Linked DNA regions of Danio rerio. The protein of the gene in region 4 interacts with the protein of the main gene of each other region in a pairwise test. Links are inferred from orthologs where the notes say so. Each region holds a gene or a part of one and is shown on either strand. Other genes may lie near its edges.

Region 1 (2,640 bases), on a different chromosome or scaffold from region 4:
CCCACAGTCCAAAGACATGCAGTATAGGTGAATTGGGTAGGCTAAATTGTCCGCACTGTATGTGTGTAAATGAGTGTGTATGGGTGTTTCCCAGTGATGGGTTGCAGCTGGAAGGGCATCCGCTGCTTAAAACATATGCTGGATAAATTGTCGGTTCATTCCGCTGTTGCAACCCCAGATTAATAAAGGGACTAAGCCGAAAAGAAAATGAATGAATGAATAATAAAAGTCAGTGGTGTCCATGGTTATTAGATTTAACTGAAGTTAAATGAAACAATAAAAAAAATTATCAGATTTTATTTCAGCTAGAATTTTCACCAAAAAAATACATCTCATTTTAATTAAATTTAATAAAAATAATAAAATATAAAATAACATTTATTTACCAAATTATGTACAAAATTACAAAAACTTTCAAATTAAAATGAACAAAATACTATAGATTAAAAAAAAAAAACCTGTACAAAAAAAACCCTACAGATCATTCATTAGACACTTGGAGAAATTCCAGAATATGTACTGTACAGTAGTTATAGAAAAATGTTTAAACTACAGGCCTGTAGCCAGGGAAGATTTGTGAGGTTCGAAAGACCCACCGCTCAGTGACAAAGTTCCAGAATTTGTCGCATTCATGAGCTCATTCGTCCTATTTTGACTGCTATGCCATCATAAATAGTAAAAATAACCCATCAAAAGGCTTTAAGATCGAACGTAATCCTGGTGTGACTTCAGTTATTCCGTTTTGGAATAGTTATTTTTCAAGAGTCCTAATATATGACGTAAGCAAAGTCATCTTTCGCTACTGTATTGTTTTTAAATAGAGAAAATATTTTACAAGTATATTTTTTTCTAAACCTTATTCTTGAAAGAAAACATGACGAATAAAAAAAGTGTGTAGCACCAAAAGCAGCCCATATTAAGATTTATTCCAATACTATTTTGGCTATTGTTGTTATCCATGAAAAGAGGCTAGGAAAATTGTGAAGCTCTAAATTATTATTATTATTACTGTTTTTATTATTGTTATTATTGTTGTTGTTGTTGTTTGAAAATATTTTTTGTTTAAATGGCCAAATTCTTGAATGGAAAGTTGAAAGTGCTGACCGGTTTGTTATTTGCCTAATAAATTACAATAGGCTACAGTTTTTAATTTAAAAATGTTTTCTGTTGATATTATGATGTAATAAATTTGTATTTTAAAAAATATACGTGTCAATTTTCTTTATTCTAAATCTTTAGGAAATATTTTCGGTACATCAAAAAGAGTGGTTATGATGACCATCCGACAAGCTAATTCAGCTAAAAAAAAGTGAAAAATAGAAAATGAGGCGTATAACTGCAAAAAGGTCCACTTTTTTGAGAATAAAGAACCACCCCTTTTACCAGGCTGGCTAAAGCCTGAACTTGCAATTGCAAAAAAAAAAGTATAGTAAATGCAACATAACTCCTAACAGCCGGTTTGATCACATCTTCAGAAAAAAGTGAAAGTTTGTGTTGTGTGTAAATGACAATTGTGTTCTATTTGTGTAAACTTTTGCTGCCCGTGTTTACCGTTGTGTAACAAAAGACAATAGCATCAACGTTTAAAACTATTTTAATTTTAATCTGTAGAAATGTATATACATTTTTGCATTAAGAGTGTATACGATTTGCAAATCATGTCTAACTGCCTGAACTTGTTTAGTTTTTAAAAAAAGAGTGATTTATTACAAAAATGGATGTTGATCATTGAGAGTTTGGTTAACAGGACAGGGTTTGGTGTCTAAGGAACTAAAAACTGGTATCTAAATTGGATTAAAATGCTGATTTGGACCCCACTGATGTTTATTGTATTTCAAGTTTGGGAAAAAGCAAATGATGACAATGTACATTATTGGATAACCTATTATATAAATGATTAATTTTATCAACAGATTTCATCTTTTTTTGCTGAGTCTTTACCCAGCGTTGGAGGTCAAATCATTTTCCCCACTGGATATTGTAAAAGAGTAGCAGAGTAAGTGTTTTTCTACAATTTGATAAGTATCTTTATACTTTATCAGGAAACCAGTAAATGAAGCTGCTTTACCCTCAGATATGTTCATGAAGCAGGAGGGGTTTATGTGGCAGATGAGATTCAGACAGGCTTTGGTCGTGTTGGGAGTCATTTCTGGGCGTTTCAGCTTGAGGGTGAAGATTTCTGCCCTGACATTGTGACCATGGGCAAACCGATGGGCAACGGTCATCCCATTGCATGCGTGGTCACTACAGAGGAGATCGCTGGTGCTTTTACAGCCAATGGAGTGGAGTACTTCAACACAGTGAGTGCTTAGAACACCGATATGCTTGGAACTAATTCTGTGATAATGTATGTTAGAGAGCTGCACGATATATCACTTTCATATTTCACACATATAAGTCACTTTCTAAAGCCTTGTCATTTATCCACACGATAACCTCAAAACTTTATGCAATTTTAAGTGTGGCTCACACAGGTAAGTGGGCTTGACAAAGCACACTCTTTTCTCTCTAATAAAACACACACCGTACTCTAGCACTTAGTTCTCTGAGCACAAACAGTTCTTTTGTAAAATTAGCATTTGTATTGCCTCTTCTTTTTGTATTACTAAATGCCTCCTCAATTGGAAGTCGCTGTGGACA
Region 2 (3,500 bases), on a different chromosome or scaffold from region 4:
TAGATAAATAGATAGATAGATAGATAGATAGATAGATAGATAGATAGATAGATAGATAGATAGATAGATAGATAGATAGATAGATAGATCATAACAAGAACTGCTGCTTAATTGAATGCATGTAATAGCGACACCCGGTGGTTATTTATTGAATTGCGTTCATTTTTGTATAGCGGGCCAGATTCTATTGATATTTATAAAAAGCCTCGCGGGCCGCCACAAAACTGATTGCGGGCCACAGATGGCCCGCGGGCCGTAGTTTGGACACGCCTGTATTAAAGTGATAGTTCACCCAAAAATCAAATGTACTCACTATTGACTCACCCTCAAGGCAGTTCCAAACATTCACAAGTTTTTTTCCTCTGTTGAACACAAAAGAATATATTTTGAAGAAAGCTAAAAACCTGTAAGCGTTGACTTTCATAGTCAAAAATCTTAAAAATATCTTCTTTTGTGTTCAGCAGAATAAAGAACATCATAAAGGATTGAAACCTCTTGAGGGTAAGTGAATTTTCATTTTTGTGTGAACTATTCTTTTAACATCTGAAGTAGCTCACATTCTTTAAAATATCTGCATCTCTGTTTAACAGAAAAAAAGAAACTTGAGCAGGTTTGGATGTGGATGGTGAGGAAATAATGGCAGAATTTTCACCTGTTTTTGAACTATCCCTTTAGACACCTTTAGAAAAAATATAAAACAACATTTAACACCAGGAGAAGCAAACAAGTAAATAAGTAGGTAAATAAATAATTGGAATATGAAGGAAAGTTGTGACATGTGGCCAAGTATGGTGACTCATTATACTTGGAATTTGTGCTCAGCCTTTAACTCATCCAAGTGCAGTGAACAGACACACCATGAACACACACCTAGAGCAGTTGGGGGTTCTGTGCCTTGCTCAAGGGACTCCTCTTAGCCATGGTATTATAAGTGGTGAGAGCACTGGTTATTCACTCTTACCACCTACCATCTCTGCCGGTGCCAGGACTCGAGCCTGTGACCTTCACAAGTCCAACTCTTTAAACATTAGGCCATGACTCTTCCCATGAAGTGTTTTTGTGACTGTATTTGCACATGCATTTCTCCTAGGAATGAAGCTGTCTGTCTGGAGAGAGCAGAAGAGGACTCACCGTGTGTCGTCACACTTCAGTGTTCACCCGGCTCTGCGTCTGCGATCAGCAGTCTTCAGGTGGTCAGTGAAGCCCGCACTATTGAAGTGTACTCGCTGTCTGGAGAATACTGCGGCACCTGCCGTGGAGAGGAAGTTCAAATATCACACACTAATGGGTATATGTATGCGAATGCTTAAGTTTACTTTACTAAACTTACTCAATTAAATCCTAATCATGTCATGACAAACTATATATCAGTGGAAGGTCTAAGACTTTTAAATACATATTTCATCACTTTTTTGTTATGTAGGAAGAGTAATAGATTAAAAAATATATATAAGGTCAATATGGTCACCAATGGAAACTGGATGTCATCTGGTCCTGATAATTGATCTTGCAGCCAAGCCAAATAAAATCTTACTAAAAGCTTCTAATTTGAAATATGAGTGGTTCAGATAATTAGATTTTCTGCCATTTTTCAAAACATAAAATACATATTGTATGTAATGTATTCATAAACAATGAAGGCACATAACTTTTATTTTAATCGACATTTCAACTTCTGCCTTCTGTCTTCTTTAAAATAAGACCAAGCTTAAATCTATTGACCAAGGCATTGAAGACATTTAAGTTGAACGTCATTTTCATATGTGCAAAAAGTGGGGGCGACAGTTAAGTTGTTAAATTATTATTATTATTATTATTATTATTATTATTATTATTATTATTATTATTATTATATCATGCTCTTATTGATATAGGCTATGTTTAACAACTACCAATTTTTTTTTCTCAAAGTGTAATACACATAGAAATACACTTCTGATGTAACATAATATACAGATCTCAGATTTCATGAACTTTTCGCTCTTATTTGCATGCAATTTGAAATAATACATTTTTTAAATAGTAAGCTAATTTAGTTAAATAGCAAACAAATACACACATACACAGCTAATGAAAAAAGACAGCATGTACATTTTTACTTTTAATAATTTCAGATTTTTTTTTTGTAATTAAGCAACTTCAGACTTTTCTTGCAAATTTAAAATAAAAAAGTTGTCATTTAGTGTTTGTCTATTTTTAAGCACAACTTCAACATTTAGACGTTAAGAAAAAGTAAAGAAATCAATTTTTGCTGGAATAACCCTAATTTTTTATTACACTAAATCAATTATTACCAGTTGTCCTTTTCTGCTCAACATTTTCATCAGTTAAATTTATCAGACTGTTGTTGAGTGCAACATATTAAAATTTTACTTAAACTCATATCTAACAAATCCAATGATTTTTCAAGTAGTCTTTTAATTCTTCTCCGAAGCTGTAATTACTTTGAATTTGCCGTTTTTATAATGCAAATATCTACAGTTGAAGTCAGAATTATGAGCCCCCCCTGTTTATATTTTCCCCAATTTTTGCTTAACGGAGAGCAGATTTTTTCAACACATTTCTAAACAATAGTTTTAATAATTCATTGCAGATTTTATTTGACTCTTTTATGGAAAAAAGAGCAGTTGTGATTTTTAAGATAATACACATCCCCTTTACTTAGCATTTGAATTTCTACCATCAGGACGCAGGTTTAGAATTAATAAAGCACGAAGAAATGCCTATAAAAAGTCATTTATCCCAATGGCAGTTGTTGTTCTAAACCGGATCAATGTTTGTAGTGGATGAGGTGGTTACCAAGAATGATTTGCAGTATTGTGCATGGGGCTAATTTGGTTTTTAAACTTTTAACTTATGTTGATGTCTTGATAAGTGTGATTGTATCGTAGTTGTATGTTTGTAATTGTTGTCCTAAATCCAGTGTTGAAGAAAAATTTCCTTTCTGTGTCAAGCAGAACGGACAATAAAGTTTTAACTAAAACTAACTTATTTCTAATAACTGATTTATTTTATAAATTTGCCATGATGACAGTAAATAATATTTGACTAGATATTTTTCAAGGCACTAGTATTCAGCTTAAAGTGACACTTAAACGCTTAACTTGGTTAATTAGGTTAACCAGGCAAGTTAGGGTAATTAGGCAAGTTACTGTATAAGGATGGTTTGTTCTGTAGACAATAGAAAAAAAAACTAGCTTAAAAGGGCTAATAATTTTGACCTTAAAATGGTGTTTAAAAAATTGAAAACTGCTTTTATTCCAGCCGAAATAAAACAAATAAGACTTTCTCCAGAAGAAAAAATATTATCAGGCCTACTTTGAAAATTTCCTTTCTCTGTTAAACATCATTTGGAAAATATTTGAAAATGAAAAAATAAAAAATAAAGTGGGCTATTAATTCAGACTAGTTTTTGTTATTTTTAGTTTTTGTCAAACAAGAAAATGTAATTAATTATATTCCACCTCACAAAATGAATTTGTTTTTTGGGTTTTCTTTTA
Region 3 (4,008 bases), on a different chromosome or scaffold from region 4:
TTTTGCTTTGTTTAACATTGCACGCAATATAAACAAGTGTTGTTGTAATCTTTTGGTATTGATAATAACCATGAAGTGTAATAAATAAATAAATAAATACAGACAATGATATAACAGACGTGATAAAACTGTAAATAATCCAGCACCAATAACTATCTGCTTGACACTCCAACATAGTAGGTGGGGGCATTGCAATTTAAAGGGATAGTTCATCCAAAAATGAAAATTCTTTCCATAATGTACCATCACTTATACACCTTTGATTTGTTCCCGAAACAGTTTACAGAGTATTTTTGTTTTTTATTGTTCTGTTGAACACAAAAGAAGACACATTGCAAAATGTTGGAAACCTGTATCCACTGACTTCCATAGTAAGAAGAAGAAATTGCTATGGAGGTCAATGGTTTTCAGTTTCCACTGAATCTTCAATAATTCCTCATTTGTGTTTAACTAAAGACTATAGACCTTTTTCTTCATTGCTGCATGGAGGGCACCATAGTGACCAGCGCCTTCCGGTAGTGTGTTTACTGTTTTCAGTGGCTTCAAAGTGTTTTTTTTTATGCAAAACATTAATTTAGAAAGAAAGATGTGTGTTAAAGTCGCTGTACTTCTGTAAGATGAGGTTCAAGTGCAAGAGAAAAACAGATGCTGAAATATAGCGTCAGTGTATGCCGCGGCTCTTCAATGCACACACTCACAATCAATACCTCACTGCATTTTAAAGAGCAAACCATATTACTGGCATGAAACTGGCAGGTATGGAAGGGATGCAATTTCCAAAAATTACCAATAAAAGTATGCTACTGATACTTTTCTGGCTGATTTGTATGTTGATTCTAATCTGGAGCAGTTATAATTTCATTTCATTTAGTTTGTGTTGTGTAGTATTTACCACAGTATGTGTTTTTCAGTCATTTCAACACGCCACTTTGTGTTCACTTTGTGACACTTATTCAATCAATGTGTTAGTGGGACAGTACAGCAGGCTACGTGTGTGCGTGTCAAACATTTTGGAAAATTACGTTTATTTAAGTTATTCATTTATTTGAAAGAAAGAGTTTCCCCATTCAGACAGAATGCCCGAGCATACTGCCAGAGAGGCGTTTCCCAGATGGTCGCCGAGATGGTCAGTAGTAGCTACTTTGTAGTTGCCTGTCGCTCTGGGTGGCGACATGCTGCAAACAGGTCTATGCAGGTCTACAGCACAGAGAATACAATCAAGCTGAGATAGGATCACATGAGCTCTAATGGTGCACCTATTGGCTGTCGCTCAAGAAAGTTGAAGGATTCTCAACTTTGTTGCATCGCTCATGCACACCTGGTCACCAACGTTCACTGTCACTCGCATAGACAGAGGTCACTGGAAGTAGCTTGCACTCCGTTAAAATGAACGGTCGTTTGTCGCTTTGCTGTTGCAAGTCATTCATAATGTAAACGAGGCTTTTAAGGGACTTCAACATAACAAAAAAAACGCAAATAAGTTAAAGGCGAGTAAACGATGGCATAATTTTTATGGATGCTGCTATATTATCGATATCCTAAATGATTTCGTAGTAAAACATATATTTTGTGACAAGTTTGACTTGACATAATAAAATTTGCATTAAAAAAAAAGGTGCAAATGTATGAATGAATGTCTGCACAATTTCTTGTTGACAATAACAATATCCAAAACAACTGACTTATTCATCATAAAAGTTAAAATATATTTGATTTATTAAGAAACTACTATAATTACAAATATATGAATATTTTACAAGTGCATTAACTTCCTTATTTGTGAAGTTAAGTTTACAATTCTAAGCAAAGTTTTTTAATAGTCGGTAGTCTGCTTTTTAAAACTGCTTTAGAAGTCAAACCACATAACAGATCAATTAAAAGTCTCAACAAAGAGTCTGACAGAAATTTCAGACATACTCACATAGGACAGCATGGCTTTGAGCTCGTCATCACTGCGAACTGTGATTCGGTCACCAACTTCATCCTCATCTGAAATAAAAGCGAACTCCATTATTTACAAGCTAATTTCCACAAGCATTTTTATCCTGCACTGTATATTTACTCATTTGCATGAACAACTCTTTAGTTCAGGACAACAGTATTGCAAAGAAATGAAGTTATGTTTTCCTATTTCTTTTTACTCTATTAGCTATACTGATTGCATTTAAACTTGAGTAACATAAGTAAAATACAGCAGCAATACTTACACTCAAATGCTGTGACTGTGGCTTCAGGCATGGCATCTCTGATCGCGGCCTGTCAAAAAAGGGAATCTCAGCAATCACACATTTGACTGACAGCTGTCAATCAGCACCACTATTCGAAAACACATAGCAAAAAGCACATTTTAATAAATGGCATGCTCCACAAATGGTTTCCCTCTTTAAAAAGTCATAAGATATGAGATGAAAACTGGCTGTGAGTTAAATTAAAGCAGCTGCTCACCAGCAAATCATTGAAGTTGAGATGTGATGGACTGTCCACTGGCGAGTCCATGTCCCCCACCGGCGTCTTTATCCGGATGACGATTCCCTCAGATTCCATATTGCTCAGGTTACTCAAAACAAGTAAAAGCATAACAAAAACACACCGACAAACATAATCTTGGCTTTTAGACCGGATTTTCAGACCAACAGCAGCTGGAGAGCTGGCTAGGAGGCTAACAGTTTAACGTAGCATGAGCGCATTTAAAACACGACTGACGCAGCGAACATTCCGTCTAATAAACTCGCGACATGTCATTCCAGATGTGCTAAAGACTTTCTGTCTGCCTGTTAACTGTGTTAGATTTTATCAGTAGTTATCAAACTGTCAACAATGAAAGTAAAACAGAGGAAGTTACGCGGAAGTATATCGACGTTTACCCGGAAGCTGAACCTCTACTAGAGGCGCATAAAAGCCTCAGAAAGCAATCTTGCGAGTTGTGATAAATATTTTGGAGCTGTTATGTTGCTCTCCTGAAACTATAAATCATTTGTTTTGGGGTTGTTCTGTTACTCAAGCTTTCTGGGATAATATTAATGTGCTTATTTCCCAAACGCGTTTTGTAATCTTTACTAATTTTTAGATTTTGTTAACGATTTTTTGTTAACTTTAACATCACATTCAAACAAGAACTGAAATATAATTAAACATAATTTAATTGTTTAGATAGAAAGCAATAAACGTATGTTTTTATTACTTATTATATACAGAAAAGGTATATTTATATTATTTCTTAATGTGCTTTATCATAATTTAAAGGATTAGTTCACCAAAAAGCTAAATTTACTCACTATTTGCTCGTCCTCGATGGATTCCAAATCTTTATGAGTTTCTTTCTTTTATTGAACACAAAATATGTTGAAGAAAGCCTGTAATCATTACCTTCCATAATAGGAAATATATACTATGCAAGTCAATGGTTACAGGTTTCTAACATTTTTTTTTAAATATCTTCTTGTTCTTCCTCAATTGTAAGTTACTTTGGACAAAAGCATCAGCTAAATATCTCAATTTAAAATTTAAATAAACTTATGATGAAACTCAGATTAATTTTTTTAAATATTATATTATTCTTTTTTTTTTCAACTATTGGGGTGCGGCCGGGTAAGGGGCCCTACAAGACAATGTGCCCAGGGAACTCTGAATTCTTAATCCAGGCCTGGATCCAAGACCTGTGAATAAATTATGCCAAGCTATCCATAATCCTGGACCAGGCCGTATTCTGAGCTGATTCTGTGGTGGTCATGGAGGAGCGGAGAGAATGAGACTGATTCCTGAAAGACCCCAGTGACAGACAAGTTGATCCAGTGGGCCAACTTGAACACTGCCAGTGACCTACTCACACCTGCAGCTTCTCCGTGATGGAAATCCAGAATTCTTAAGCCTCCAGCGCCTAGACTACAGCTCTGCACAAGAAGTTTGACCAGAGGAGAAATGGTCATGCCCACCTGAGCCTGGTTTCTCTTGAGGTTTTTTCCTTTACTTTCGTCAATTGGTGAAGTTTTGTTCCTTGTTTGGGACTAG
Region 4 (3,500 bases):
GGTGACCCTTGATTAATATAGGGACTAAACCAAAAAGAAAATAAATGAACAAAACTTCCGTTTAAGCATTCCACATAGATGAAACTCATTTACTCTTAGCCTAATGTTACTCTTCTGTGTGCAGGTGAACAATGTAGACATCAGTAACGTGCCCCATAACTTTGCTCGCTCTACACTGGCCCGTCCCTGTGCTACCCTTCAGCTGACGGTTTTAAGAGAGCGCCGCTGCTCTGCCAGGCCACCTGCAGCAACTGCATCACCCAAGGGCAGCCCTGCCAGCATACGCATCACCCTGCACAAGAGGGAATCATCAGAGCAGCTGGGCATCAAGCTTGTGCGGCGTACAGATGAAGCCGGCGTTTTTATTCTGGATCTGCTGGAGGGAGGCTTAGCTGCGAAAGATGGGCGACTCTGCAGCAACGACAGGGTGCTGGCTGTCAATGAGCATGACCTGAGACATGGCACGCCAGAGCTGGCAGCTCAGATTATACAGGTAAAGAGAAAAAGCATGTGTGTGGGGGAGAGGTCAGGTCAAAGAAACCTTTTTAACTAACTTCTTAATAGCCATTATTAAATGTGTATAGAGGTTTGTGTTTTTGAGGTCAAAAGAATACTAAAAGCTAAAGTGCTCTAAGTGAATTTAGACATTACAGATGTACACTCACCAGCCACTTTATAAAGTATACAGATTTCTTATCAGCCAATCACATGGCTCTAAAAAATGGTCTGAAAAAGAGAAAATATCCAGCGGCAGTTCTGTGGGCTCAAATGCCTTTATTGATGCCAGAGGTCAGAAGAGCATGGCCAGACTGGTTTCGAGCTGATAGAAAGGCAACGGTAACTCAAATAATCACTCGTTACAACTGAGGTCTGCAGAAGAGCATCTCTGAACACACAACACATCCAACATTGAAGCAGATGGACTAGAGCAGCAGAAGACAACACTGGGTGCCACTCTTGTCAGCTAAAAATGTAAACTGAGGCTACAATTCATACAGGCTCACCAAAATTGGACAATAGAAGATTGGAAAAACGTTGACTGGTCTGATGAGTCGATTTCTGCTGCGACATTTGGATGGTAGGGTTAGAATTTGGCATCGACACCATGAAAGCATGGATCCATCCTGCCTTGTATCAACAATTCAGGCTCGTTGTGGTGGTGTAATGGTGTGGGGGATATTTTCTTGGCACACTTTGGGCCCATTAGCACCATTTGACCATGGTGTCAACACCACAGCCTACCTGAGTATTGTTGCTGACCATGTCCATCCCTTTATGACCACAGTGTACCCATCTTCTGATGGCTACTTGCAGCAGGATAATGCGCCATGTCATAAAATGTGAATCATCTCAGACTGGTTTCTTAAACATGACAATGAATTCACTGTACTCAAATGGCCTCCACAGTCACCAGATTTCAATAGAATAAAGCACCTTTGGGATGCGGTGGAATGGGAGATTCGCATCATGGATGTGCAGCCGACAAATCTGCAGTACTGTGTGAGGCTATCATGTCAATATGGACCAAAATATTTCCAGTACCTTGTTGAATCTATGCCATGATGAATTAAGGCAGTTTTAAAGGCAAAAGGGGGTCCAACCCGGTACTAGTAATATGTACCTAATAAAGGGACCGGTGAGTTTATAATGTACCGTAAAAAATGGATATTCATTTTGCAATTGGTTAAATATTTGGATTTTTATATATCAAGTGAGCAGAGATTGTAGGAAAGGTAACCTAAAGTAATAAGTGTGTGTGTTTTTGATATGTGCGGGTGTGTATATGTGTATTTTCCTATAATATATATATATATATATATTTTTTTTTTTTTCCAGTTTTTGTTTTAGAAATTTATACACTTTTACAGATAATTTTTAAGGCTATGTTTCTAAATTCTGTTAGTGATTATTTATATTTTTTAATGAAAAATAATTTTTAACAATTTGAGATGGCAAAAATAGATAAAAATATATACTTTAAAAAATCAATAATATCAGCAATTTAACAGTAAGATTATCAATATATTCAAAATCTTAAACAAAAAACATCCATATATCTAAATTAAAGGCCATATCTACAGCCTGGAAAACCAATAAACGACCTAGCAACTCCCTAGCGATCACACAGCATCTTTTTTGGGCAACCACTTTACCCACCAATAGCATAACACATATTTTCTTTTTAAAATGATAAATATTTCCTTCTACTAAATATTCCTCTTATAAAACAGCTGGTGTCAAATCTCAGTGCCTGTTTAGGACATTAGGACACACTCTGCTGCCCTGCTCAGAGGGTAATGTGATTGATAGTATCTTTATGTCTACGTGAGCTGCTTTTTCCCCATCTGGCTGCCCCGATCACAGAGAAAGGGCAACTAAAGTGTTATTAAGAATAGCACTGGCAGATAGCAGACCGTCTTTGTTGGATGCAGTGCCACCTCTATAAGAGTATTAGGTATTTATACGACCGCCTACTGTCATCTTTATAGGCTAGCGGAGAAAGAGTCAATCTGCTGATTAGCCGGTCCAGCAAGCAGACTATGGCGGTGCACACAGGCTCCACCTTGACCAGGGACATTTGGAGCCATGATCACATCCCGCCACTTCCCAGTACTGCGACCCCAAGTCCCGTCCCCAGTCTGCACCTTGCCAGGTCTTCCACCCAGAGAGTGAGTACACACGCCTTGCGGCCAAGTCTGTTTGTGTTGCAGAATCTATTTTAGCATTGTGGAGACGTAATTAGGGAGCCCTATTTACGAAGCATCTGGGTAGCCTCCAGTTTTCCATGAGTTCAGACCACAACCTTAATTACTCCTTGTCGGATCTATTATGAGATCAATTCGGAAGTACAGCTGATCCCGTTGGGATGACGAACAGCACTCTACAGAGAGCCGATCAGAGTGTCAGTTTAGAAACGGGCTTCCTTTTTCTTTATCCATACCTTTGAGACACGTTTAGACTTGATGCTCTGATGCTTTTCTAATATGAGTGTGTGTTGCAGGATCTCTCCCAGTGTGTGAACTGTAAAGAGAAACACATCACTGTGAAGAAGGAGCCTCATGAGTCTCTGGGAATGACTGTGGCAGGAGGACGGGGCAGCAAAAGTGGGGAACTGCCCATATTTGTGACGAGCGTCCAGCCCCATGGCTGCCTGTCACGTGACGGACGAATCAAACGTGGTGAGTGACATTTATAGGCATCAAGCCTGTTTACCTTATTGAAGAGATCATGTTACAATTTCTTAATTTAAATAATTCCAATTAAAACCGCAAGATCTTGTTGAGTTGTTTTAGCTCTGTGTTGTTATGAAGAGTTTCAAACTTTGAAAAAAACAAGATCTAAAATACTGATACATATGCTACTGTTTATGTTCACAGACATGACCGAATAATGTGAACTTGTTTTTTTGTGTGTGTGTGTGTGTGTGTGATCTGACAAACTTAAAAGGAGGACTTTAAATATTATCTGACAGCCAGCTTTCAGTCACCTCATAAAACCCT
Region 5 (3,055 bases), on a different chromosome or scaffold from region 4:
TTGAATAATTGGCAAAAAAAATTATAAAATGATTAAAGTAATTACATTATTTTCTTTTTGTTATAAAGGTCAAATAACTGAAGGTGAATGATTTCATACAGCATGTGTCCGCTAGGTTTTTTTTATGATGATATTATGTGTTGACAGCAGAAATGTGGCTAACAGGTTCTGATAGGCAAGAGTGTCAGAACGGGGTCATGGTAGGCCTGTGTCCATCAGCGCATTCTAGTTTGTTGGCCTCATTCTTTCAAAACAATTATTTTCAATAAACATCCCATGCAAGAACAATCTTTTCTTTTTCCGTTCACTTGCTGATATCCGTCTATCTCGACCTCCATCTCTGCGCTTTTCTATCAGATTAGGGTCACATGGAGAGTAACCTAGAATTAATGATTTAAATGTCCATAAGGCCTCCTGCTGAGGTAAAACTCAGCTGAAACCAATTCCAGTTTACAGATTAACGATTGGTTTATACTGATGCTCAACATTCAGTGCCTAATAGGATAGATTTGATGCATACTTTTGTGTGTATGTGCAGTCGGGAAGATGTCTGTAATGTCTGTGTGTTGTTTGTAGTTTTGGGAGGTGATCAGCGATGAACATGGAATCGACCCAACCGGAACCTATCATGGAGACAGTGACCTCCAGCTGGACAGAATCAGTGTCTACTACAATGAGGCTACAGGTACTTTAAGACATTGGTATAAAGAAAGATGAAAGTATATTATTAGCATGAACAGTATTGATAATCAAAAGTTTTTTTTTTTTACTTTTTAATGATTGTTTAAAGGATTTGTTACCAATTCTTTATTAGTTATGTCATAACATAAAATGCATTATAATCTTTAAGTTTTAATCTTTAATCAAGCATTTCACTTGGAAGTTCATCCCAATAAAGGAGAAAATATATTTCTATTTCATAATTATTTTTAGAGAAATACATGGAAAGTTTTCAAATGGTTCTTAAAGCAAAAGGCTGAAAATCATGAATATGTGATACGAGATCAGTTCTATTTATTTTAATTGATTCATTTAAGTTTTTAAACTTTTCTGAATCAGATTTTTGCTAATTATGTAATATGACTTTAATCATTTTAACGTTAAGTACATAATAGACAATAGATATGCTATGTAAATGCATGTATTTTGCAATTTAATTATAGAAAGCAATTATTTAAATGATTCCGTTCAATAGCAATGTTAACTCCTTAAGTTGGATGGTCCATTTCTGATTTTTTTTTTTACTTCAGTCATACAGATATTATTACAAATAATACAAACATCATATTTGTTTCATCTTTATTAACATTTAATTACAGTAGTATAAAACATAATAAAAATATAACTTAAATAATATGTAAATAAATATTACATAATCTAATAATTACTAGAGTAGTTTAATAAAATGGGATTCAAACAAAGTAAATTGGTTTGTGAATCCATAAAATGTTTTATTAAATTAACATTTCCAAAGTTCCAAAGTTTTTGAACCATTTATAAAATGATGGTCTTTAAATAAGACGTTACATACAATAGATGTATTTTACATTTTAATATAATAATTTAATTAATAATAATTTAATTAATAATAATTTTAATATGAGCGTCCCTTGTAAATCTCCAGGCCTAAACCAGAGCTATTCACTAAATATGTTGAGGTTAAACTTGAGGTCAACTAGAGGTGACATCTAGAGGTCAATATTAGAATTAAACATTCTCAACCTACATCTTAAAGCCCTAAACCTGCATGCAGATACTACAATATCTCATTTCAAACATTTAGTTTCCTATATGTACTGAGCTGGTCTGTTTCTCTTTTTTTCTTGTTTCTCTATGTCTCGTGGAGGAGGTAAATATGTGCCAAGAGCCATTCTAGTGGATCTGGAGCCTGGTACCATGGACTCTGTGCGTTCAGGGCCCTTTGGACAGATCTTTAGACCTGACAACTTTGTATTTGGTGAGTGACTGATAACAAGTCTATCATCACACAAAAAATCTAATTGACAAAAATTATGGAACAGAATCATAGGGTTATCTTACCCAAAAACACAATTATTTTACTAATTATTCACCCTCATGTCATTCCAAGCCCCTGAGATCTTTGTTCATCTTTAGGACACAAGTTTTGATTTTAAATTATGGTGAAATCTGAGAGCTCATTCATCTTCCATAGACATCAATGTTCCTGGCTTGTTTAAAGTCAAGAAAGGGACCAAAACTTTCTCAAAACATACCATATGTCTTCAAAGCTTCAATCAGAATATTATAGAACTAAAAGAATACTTTTGTGCACATATAAAACAAAAACAAGGACTTTATTCCATGGCTTCTTCTGTTAAGTGTCAGTATATTGCACACATCTTTAAGTACTGTGTGGTGACGAATATCCCTCTGATGCCTGTGATTGGTTTCCTCTGTTTGAAACAAAGCACTGGTGCATCCGAGGTAATATGAATGTGACACCTGACACATGAATGTGCGCCCTGTATTGAATGATTTTTCTAACTTCTTCTGGAAGAGTCTGGAACATTGCTGTATATAGAGAATAAGGAAGCCCTCAGATTTAATCTAAAACATAATTATCATAGCCATATCTACCTGCAGCTCAAGACCGGTTACTCACTGAAGCTAAGCAAGGCTGGGCCTGGTCAGTACCTGGATGGGAGACCCAATGGGAAAACTAGGTTTCTGTTGGAAGTGGTGTTAGTGAGGCCAACAGGGTGTGGTCTGTGCGCTCAATCTGTGGTCTGTGTCCTAATGCCCCAGTATATTGAAGGGGACACCATAACGTTCAGTGAGCGCCGTCTTTTGGATGAGACGTTAAACTGAGGTCCTGACTCTTTCTGGCCATTAAAAATCCCATGGCACTTCTTGTAAAGAGTAGGGGTGTGACCACAGTGCCCTGGCCAAATTCCTTCCATCGACCCTTACCCAATCATCCCCATCCACCAAATTAGCTCTATCACTGTCTCTCCACTCCACCAATAGCTAGTGTTTGGTAAGCGCACTGGCGCCGTTGTCTTGTGGCTGCCACCCTGTCATCCAAGTGGATGCT
Region 6 (4,255 bases), on a different chromosome or scaffold from region 4:
AATGTGTATTTCTATAGCGCATTTAATGTGTATGGTCATACACCCAAAGCACTTTCACAATCATGAGGGGGGTCTCTCCACACCACCACCAGTGTGCAGATCCTCTTGGATAGCATAGGCATAGCCAGCAACATTACAGAAATGTCCAGAAAAACACCAAACAACATCCTCAAAATGGACCATTCACCTTCAGAAGTGTCACAATAGCGGAAAAGAAGACATTCCTCCATTTCATGCTGACTTTAATTAATTTTCTCAAAACACTATGCATGTCGGCTGTGCTGTCAAATTAAGGAAACATAGATAATAGAATGTTTATAATTATTAATATGCAGTTATTTATATATGATTTTATATATATATAAATTCATTTTCTTTTCAGCTTAGTCCCTTTATTAATCAGGGGTGGCCACAGCAGAATGAACCACCAACTTATCCAGCATATGTTTTACACAGCAGATGCCCTTCCAGCCGCAACCAAACACTGGGAAACACCCATATACTCTTGCATTCACACATACACTACGTACAATTTAGTTAATCAATTCCTCTATAGCCCATGTGTTTGGACTGTGGGGGACACCCGGGCAGAGAAACCCACGCAAACACAGGGAGAACATGCAAACTCCACACAGAAATGCCAACTGACCCAGCGACCTTCTTGCTGTGAGGCGAACATGCTACCCACTGCACCACCGTGACGCCTCAAACCAACGCATGCCTCCCACCAGTGCTGATTCACAGCCACATTACACTACTACTTGTGTGATATTGTGTGTGTGTGTGTGTGTGTATATATATATATATATATATATATATATATATATATATATATATATATATATATATATATATATATATATATATATATGTTTTTTTTAACCATGTCTATGTATATAAAAGTGCTAGGTATATTAGTACTAGGTATAACTAGGTATATTTCTGCAATAGGCCTACTAGGCTAACTCTTTTTAGATTTATAATGTATTTCAGTTTGAATAATAAAAAACTGCTGCTGTCATGTTTTATTTCTCAAAGTATCACCACTTATAAATCTCAAAGATTATGCAACATTATGTTTTTGGGTTTTGTCTGCAGCTTTAAATCACCCATTTGAACCTAATTACCCTGTATTTACCGAGCCATCTTGTCAAAACCAGACTATTATCCTTGCTCATGCTTTACTGGGGTTTAAAATTAGAAAGATTTTCACTCAGTTCCCTCGGAGAATAACCATTTGTTTGTTTGTTTTTTCTCATTTACATTCAGGCGCAGTTCGGACAGCTATCGGGTGTTGTTATTTGTTTATTTATATTGTTTTAAAGAATTCACAAATAACAAATACAGAAAAAACAGACAAAACAAAAACTGCAAAGATGATATAAAAAACAAAAGAAAAATATAAGAAAAACGAAACGGAAGACGGTCAGCTGCAAGGGTCTTTTTTGACAACGTGTCGTGACGTCATCAACAGGCGCACACACACACGTGCGGAGTTCGTGTGATTTTCGCGAGGAGATGTTCATTTAGTTGAGTCGATCAACGCTGATTTAACAACACAGTGAGTATCGATCCAGTGTTTGTGTGTATAATAGTATAGTAATAACAATACTGGCGAAGATATCGAGAGCGTTATAGTCTTCTCACAACCATACTTCACACGTAATTACACCCATACATACATACAAAGAGTGATCTGTAAGTTAGCAATGGTGTATGTGTTTATCTGTCAGTGGATACATTATTTTAAGTTTATGACAGTGGTGACCAGTTCTGTTAGACTGATTATGCTTTATATTGTTAATGTCATGAATATGGAGTGAAGTTGGTTTTATATTCGCACTCTTAGACGTTCTTTCTAATAATATAGCGTTAATTTCAGAAAAGCATACTTGCAAATTCTAATAAATAGGAAAATCAGCAGCGAATGACTATTAAAGGACAACACTGTTGACAGTCAGTAAATAATGCTAATGTTGTTTTGAAGCGCTTACATGCGATTTCAGACCCAATATTATAAGTTTATCCTGATAAACAATGTAGGGAGCGTTAAAAGGAAACAAATGTGCGAATATAAAACAAACTCAATATATTATGAGTGTGATTAATGATGTTTGGGGTCTGTGTTGTTGCTGTTGTAGTCATGGAGTACATGCAGGCTCCGCCATCCAGCAGCCACGGCAATATGTGAGTATTCAACTTTTATAAGTACTGTGTTGTTATATTAATATTAGTATTTACTCTCCCTCAAGTGGTCGCAGATGTTTATGAGTTTCTTTTATTTCTGCCGAACCAAAAATAAACTTGAATTATTAATCAACAGCATCAGTTGAGATTTGGCTCCTACATATTGCTTTTTTTTTAATGTAAGGCATTTTTCAGTCATTCATTTTCCTTCGGTGTAGTCTCTGATTTATCAGGGGCCGCCACAGCAGAATGAACCGTTAACTATTCTAGCATATGTTTTAAACAGCGCATGCCCTTCCAGCTGCAACCCAGTACTGGGAAACACTCATACACACTCACACTTTGCTATCTGGACTGTGCCCAGGCCCGTTTCCCGGATCATTTGAGAAGTGCGTGTGCGCTGAATTGGGCTCAGGCACATTTCAGTTGGCCGGCCCTAGCGGTTCACTTGGGCAGTTCACTTGGGCTAAGCGCGCCTGAGCCCGTAACTGAAGACGAGACGTGACTTTTAAGGGACTGTTTCATATTGATTTATTAATCATTATTAATGTTCAATAAACACAAACCATCGTAGATTATTAAAGACACAAACCCCTCACTGCACGACAGCTGCACCTTCAGCAAACCTCCTAAATCCTGCAGCACGAGGCAATAATCTCAGCTACACAGAAATTGGGAAAAAAATAAACGGGGGCGAATAATTCAGGGGGCTAATAATTCTGAATTCAACTGTACATATTGTCATTATTATTATTTATATATTTTAGCTTGTGTATTATTTATTGCTGAATTTAAATTGTTATGATATTGTTATAACTATAGAAATTGTGTTTATTTTATTGTTATAAATATAGTGGTATTTATAAAATGTGGTAAACTTGATCTGTTTTTGTTTTTGCCATGACATAGCTAAAGAAGCTGAAACCGCATTAATCTCGAAATTCTCTCTCCCTCATTGTCTTACTGTATTTCTGTTTATCTGTATGCTTTTTTCAGTCTTTGCTGTACGTGTGGCGTTCCCATTCCTCCAAACCCAGCCAACATGTGTGTCTCCTGCTTGAGGACTCAGGTGGACATCTCTGAGGGCATCCCCAAACAAGTGACCATCCATTTCTGCAGGCAGTGTGAACGGTACGCTCTGTTTCTGTTAGCCATGGGCCGGTGTACGATTCTGACGATACAATAACCTTGGATAAAATGATCACGGTTTCACGGTATTGTGATTACTGCTCTAAAATCTGTTCTTTTCACATGTCTGGATAAGAAAAAAACGTTTGCCTGTTAAACAGATTCTATTTGTTTTTAAGTATTTCTAATATTTTGGAGCAGTGAACATGTCAGGCTAAATAATTAGAATAAATCATTGCCTTTTGCTGTCTTCATTAGTATCAAAAACACAGATTTCTTTGCAACCTTAAAAGGCAACTTGGCATATCTTTTATTTTTGGATATACAGTAAAGTCACTGTACTGCTCAGCTCTACAGCATGCTGGATGTTGGTTTATAAGTGACTTGTTTTTTAAATGATAGCTTTTTCTGCTGCTGGAGATAATGTTGCCCTAAAAAAACAAATTAAATAGTCATGAAAAACACACACACACACACACACACACACACACAAAATTACATATACCGTAAGAACAGTACAACAGAAAATATGAGCTGTTTAAAACACCCGGTTCCTTCCGGTACACGTAGGGCCCTATCATACACCCGGCGCAATGTGGTGCAATGCAATTGTTATTTGCTACTTTCAGCTTGGCGCAAGAGTCGTTTTGAGGTGTTGCACCACGCTGTTTAAATAGCAAATGCATTTGCACTTATATGTGCGCCCATAGGCGTTCTGGTCTAAAAAAAGCAGGCGTGTTTTGGCGCGTTGCTATTTTGAGAAACTATAAGTCTGTTTTTTAGACCAGAACAAAGCCGGTCTATTGTCTGGCGCAGAGCGCGCCTAGCTTACACACTGCTTAATACACACACGATGTAGAGCAATACGCAAATATCTTTACATAAAAAAAGAATTTAAATATTACGATATATATATATAGGATATAATAAGAATATATAT
Region 7 (3,500 bases), on a different chromosome or scaffold from region 4:
TGTGTGTGTACACCTTGCAAAAGCTTCTATATTTTCTTTCAGTGATTCTCCCTTGCCTGTGACTTCACGTGTATGTTTTGTAAAGTTCCACGAGCCGGAGTCAGTCGGAGTATCGCAGCATCTGACGAACACAGTCTTCGTGGACCGAGCGCTGATCGTCGTCCCCTTTGCTGAAGGTTTGTGCCACTCCTTTATTGTTTTTAAATGTTACACGTAATCAATCCCTTCGCAGTGTTGATGACGGCTTTAGTGCAGTGAACTCCAGCGGCCGTCACACACACCTGAACGCAGTATGGGGACATTCACACAGAACGCGTTTCTTTTAAAGTGCTCTGCTTTTTGTGTTTTCGATGTAAAGGCGCACTTGATGGATGTGTGTGATCGTTACTCTTCTTTTTTTGTCAAGTTATAAGCAGTTGAAATTGTAGATGCAGCGCTGCTTGTTAATGTCAGTTTCAAAGCAGTGGACCAATCAGAAGAGTTGAGAAGTGGGACTGCTGCTGCAAGTTTGTTTAAAGTTGTGTTTTAATGCTGCGTCTTTAGTTTAGTTTTTCCCCGCGCGTGTGTTTAAAAGCAAAGACGTGTTCAGTGTGAATGAGCCCTAAGACTGTATATGCACTCAGGTGAATATTTGAGAAATGTTGGGGATTAGACGCCCTGCGTGGCAGGCGAGCTCATGTTTAACTCATTGCCTTTCCAGTTTAGTTTCATTTTTTTTGTTAAACTTTTCTCTTTGTCATCTGTGTGTGTGATTTTTATAGTGAACAAGGCAATTGCAGAGCCGGCAGATGTCTGAGAGTGACCCTCTGCTGCCCTGTAGACAAATAAAAGCGGCGGCCCACGTGTGTTTCCCTGCTGTAAACTATAATCCTCTCTTGTGTCTCCATTCAATTCAATTGAGCTCACAGACAAAGATCGATCCGTCTTTTCTTGCAAAGCACTAATGTTTAGCCTCAAATCCTCTGATTGAACTGCATGCTAATCAGACACGAGATAATCCACGGTAAGATGAGATGTAGCGCATTTCTGCATGAGTCTTTTGCACATGTATATGTGAGGAGAAGCAGCGCTTGGCAAGAGCGTAATGATAGCTGAACGCAGGGCTTTCCCTGCGCGTATGTGATGATTTGTCCAATCTCCCTCCAGTATTTTCAGCTTTTTGAGTAAGAAACAGTCTGAGAATGTTCTTTTGTTCCTCTCCACATGACTGAAAAGGCCTGAGAAGCTTTTTAACGGTCGTTTTCTGTTTTTTGTTGTTGTGTTTTCCAGTTCTTTTCCCTGGTTCTGCAAGTCCTGTAAACCAGGCCCAGCAGAAAATGCCACCCAACAGTTTTGTCTTCTGCAGCTTGTCCTGTTTCTCTCTCATATGTTCTCTCTATCTCTCTCTCTCAGCTCTCTCTCTCTCTCTCTCTCTGGTGTGTGTGTGTGTGTGTGTGTCAGTGATGATTGTGTCTTTGGAGTGAAGTATTAATTTCAGAGGCGTTCACCCAATGGACTCCATGCACTCACCAAACGTTCATTTGTCATTTAACTCTAGTTATTTTTCTCTTCAGCACTTTTTGACACACACACACACACAGTCTGTAGTTAAGTTTAAAACGGGCTTTTGCTGGAAGAGGTCCTTTCTGTTGTATATCTGTGTCAAAGTTTACCAAAGGTAAAGGCAGCTTTAGCTCTGGAATACCAGCAAAAGCCCCTTGATGTCTTTATTTTTGTGTTAGTTCTGGTAAGTCACAGCATCAGTGGTTTAATGAACTGTCATTTAATGCTGACACCCAAATCATAAACTCTGTTTTGTCTATCTTGATGTCTCTGTGTGCTTTATAGCGAAGCAGCCGACCTGAATCGCTTGTTCATTATACAACTTATGAAACTTGAGAGCACATCCCAGTGGAGATCCGGCTGTGCTTGCTTACATTTGGTTCATGACTTAAAAAATCAAGTTCAGGTGATAACATCTTGGCAGTGTGTCTAGTGTCATTTCTTTTCTTGTAGTATTGTGCACTTCATGCTATTGTTAAGGGACCTCATGTGTTAGCTTGCTCTGGCAAAGTGAGTACTGATGTCAGTGCACATTATCTTGCAAAAAAAAAGAAAGTTTGAGTTTGTGGGTCTGTCTGTGTGTGCGTGGAGAGCCGCGGCGTGCTTTAACTGTGTGTTTCTGTTCTGCAGGAGTGATTCCTGATGAGTCCAAGGCTATGTCTCTGCTTGCTCCGGCCAATGCCGTTGCAGGATTGCTTCCAGGAGGCGGACTCCTCCCCACACCCAACCCCGTCCCATCTGTGAGTGTCAATCTCTGTAACCCGAGGCTATATGCTTATTTCAGGCGATCGCCATTTTAAAACACGAAAGCGAGGCAGCGGTGGGAAGGAACCCGGGAGTATAGCATCAGCACTGTAAACATTGCAGCAACATGCTGTGAACTACAAACCTCCAGCTGTTGCCATAAATTGCAAAATGCAGAAATGGTGTAAACATCACTTTAATATCATGCAGTAAGTTTAATCTAAACAATTAACAGCAGATTAGGCATCAAACAACATCACAATCTCTTTAAGAGTAAGTGTCCTCCTAGGTTTCAGTTCATGGCAGCAGGTAAACACCATGGGGACGCTTCCCTGTTTCAGTCTATGTAACCCGGTGAGCAATAAAACCATGCAGTCCTCTGTAACACACCTTCGTGTTGTCTGTAGCAGTGTTGTCCCGGTACTGAAGTTTTAAAAGGTCCATTTCCGCTAACATTTAAGCGCCGCCGAGTTCATAAACTGTGCTGATTTGCCATAGTGTTCACCAGTGCTCAACTGGAATGACTGTGATTGGCTGTGAAGGTCATCAGTTCACCGCTCTTCACCGATTGCTAACACAGATAGACATTGGAGCGTTTTCAAGCCGTGAAGATCGGTCGATTTATCAGTAGATTGCTTGTTTGTGTTTGTACTCGGTAAACATCAGTGAACTGATGACCTTCACGGCCAATCACAGTCATTTCTGTTGAGCACGTGAACACCATGGCAAATCAGCAGTGTTTAAGAACGCCATCAACAGTGCTTAAATGTTAATGGGATATGGCCTTTTTAAAATATTTTTTTACGTTTCAGTACTGAAGTTTTGTCTTATATAGTGAAAGAATCCGTTCATTAACTTAAGGTTGATAAAAGGCATCTAAAACGTGCGTTTGGAAAAGAAAACGTTAGCTAACTAGTTTCATTTCCCTTAACTTAGCTGAAAATGAGCTTTGATATCCCTTTTTATTTTCACTATTCATTCAGAACGGATCTTCAGATCACTTGGAACGTGGTGAAATGGTAAATTTGTGTCACTTTCTCTTCGCTGATGAGATATACAGTCAGGTAGACAAAATTCCTCTCTGACTCAGACGATACTTCCAGGTTTCTTCCACCGCAGCCTCGATTTCGCTGTTTAAAATGTCCGCCTCGTGAAATCAGTCTATGGTCCTCCTTGCACTGTAGTGATGCTCGTGTGCTTTGTCTTGTCAGATT

Evidence for each region.
Region 1: the proteins of lnx2a (region 4) and phykpl interact in binary tests that used the Homo sapiens proteins (3 or more experiments, as listed by UniProt). The link is inferred for Danio rerio from reciprocal best matches to the Homo sapiens genes LNX2 and PHYKPL.
Region 2: the proteins of lnx2a (region 4) and si:rp71-19m20.1 interact in binary tests that used the Homo sapiens proteins (3 or more experiments, as listed by UniProt). The link is inferred for Danio rerio from reciprocal best matches to the Homo sapiens genes LNX2 and C10orf88.
Region 3: the proteins of lnx2a (region 4) and map2k5 interact in binary tests that used the Homo sapiens proteins (3 or more experiments, as listed by UniProt). The link is inferred for Danio rerio from reciprocal best matches to the Homo sapiens genes LNX2 and MAP2K5.
Region 5: the proteins of lnx2a (region 4) and tubb5 interact in a two-hybrid assay, tested with the Homo sapiens proteins (3 studies listed by BioGRID and IntAct). The link is inferred for Danio rerio from reciprocal best matches to the Homo sapiens genes LNX2 and TUBB.
Region 6: the proteins of lnx2a (region 4) and nmd3 interact in a two-hybrid assay, tested with the Homo sapiens proteins (3 studies listed by BioGRID and IntAct). The link is inferred for Danio rerio from reciprocal best matches to the Homo sapiens genes LNX2 and NMD3.
Region 7: the proteins of lnx2a (region 4) and srsf11 interact in a two-hybrid assay, tested with the Homo sapiens proteins (3 studies listed by BioGRID and IntAct). The link is inferred for Danio rerio from reciprocal best matches to the Homo sapiens genes LNX2 and SRSF11.

What each region holds. Positions count from the first base shown.
Region 1 is NC_133190.1:25,913,279-25,915,918, forward strand, and holds part of phykpl (5-phosphohydroxy-L-lysine phospho-lyase), read left to right. Parts: intron 1-1,913; coding exon 1,914-1,996; intron 1,997-2,074; coding exon 2,075-2,300; intron 2,301-2,640.
Region 2 is NC_133187.1:11,910,024-11,913,523, forward strand, and holds part of si:rp71-19m20.1 (ATPase PAAT), read left to right. Parts: intron 1-1,090; coding exon 1,091-1,294; intron 1,295-3,500. UniProt on the Homo sapiens protein: ATPase that regulates mitochondrial ABC transporters ABCB7, ABCB8/MITOSUR and ABCB10. Regulates mitochondrial ferric concentration and heme biosynthesis and plays a role in the maintenance of mitochondrial homeostasis and cell survival.
Region 3 is NC_133182.1:34,126,989-34,130,996, forward strand, and holds the start of map2k5 (dual specificity mitogen-activated protein kinase kinase 5), read right to left. Parts: upstream 2,801-4,008; 5' UTR 2,578-2,800; coding exon 2,446-2,577; intron 2,317-2,445; exon of another isoform or gene 2,257-2,316; coding exon 2,208-2,256; intron 1,990-2,207; coding exon 1,922-1,989; intron 1-1,921. UniProt on the Homo sapiens protein: Acts as a scaffold for the formation of a ternary MAP3K2/MAP3K3-MAP3K5-MAPK7 signaling complex.
Region 4 is NC_133199.1:25,535,086-25,538,585, reverse strand, and holds part of lnx2a (ligand of Numb protein X 2a), read left to right. Parts: intron 1-124; coding exon 125-493; intron 494-2,489; coding exon 2,490-2,669; intron 2,670-3,001; coding exon 3,002-3,179; intron 3,180-3,447; coding exon of another isoform or gene 3,448-3,458; exon of another isoform or gene 3,459-3,500.
Region 5 is NC_133191.1:10,605,102-10,608,156, forward strand, and holds part of tubb5 (tubulin beta-5 chain), read left to right. Parts: intron 1-576; coding exon 577-685; intron 686-1,846; coding exon 1,847-1,957; intron 1,958-3,055. UniProt on the Homo sapiens protein: Tubulin is the major constituent of microtubules, a cylinder consisting of laterally associated linear protofilaments composed of alpha- and beta-tubulin heterodimers.
Region 6 is NC_133190.1:1,691,723-1,695,977, forward strand, and holds the start of nmd3 (60S ribosomal export protein NMD3), read left to right. Parts: upstream 1-1,455; 5' UTR 1,456-1,561; intron 1,562-2,141; 5' UTR 2,142-2,143; coding exon 2,144-2,187; intron 2,188-3,183; coding exon 3,184-3,318; intron 3,319-4,255. UniProt on the Homo sapiens protein: Acts as an adapter for the XPO1/CRM1-mediated export of the 60S ribosomal subunit.
Region 7 is NC_133186.1:47,581,100-47,584,599, forward strand, and holds part of srsf11 (serine/arginine-rich splicing factor 11), read left to right. Parts: exon of another isoform or gene 1-42; coding exon 43-176; intron 177-2,172; coding exon 2,173-2,282; intron 2,283-3,497; coding exon 3,498-3,500. UniProt on the Homo sapiens protein: May function in pre-mRNA splicing.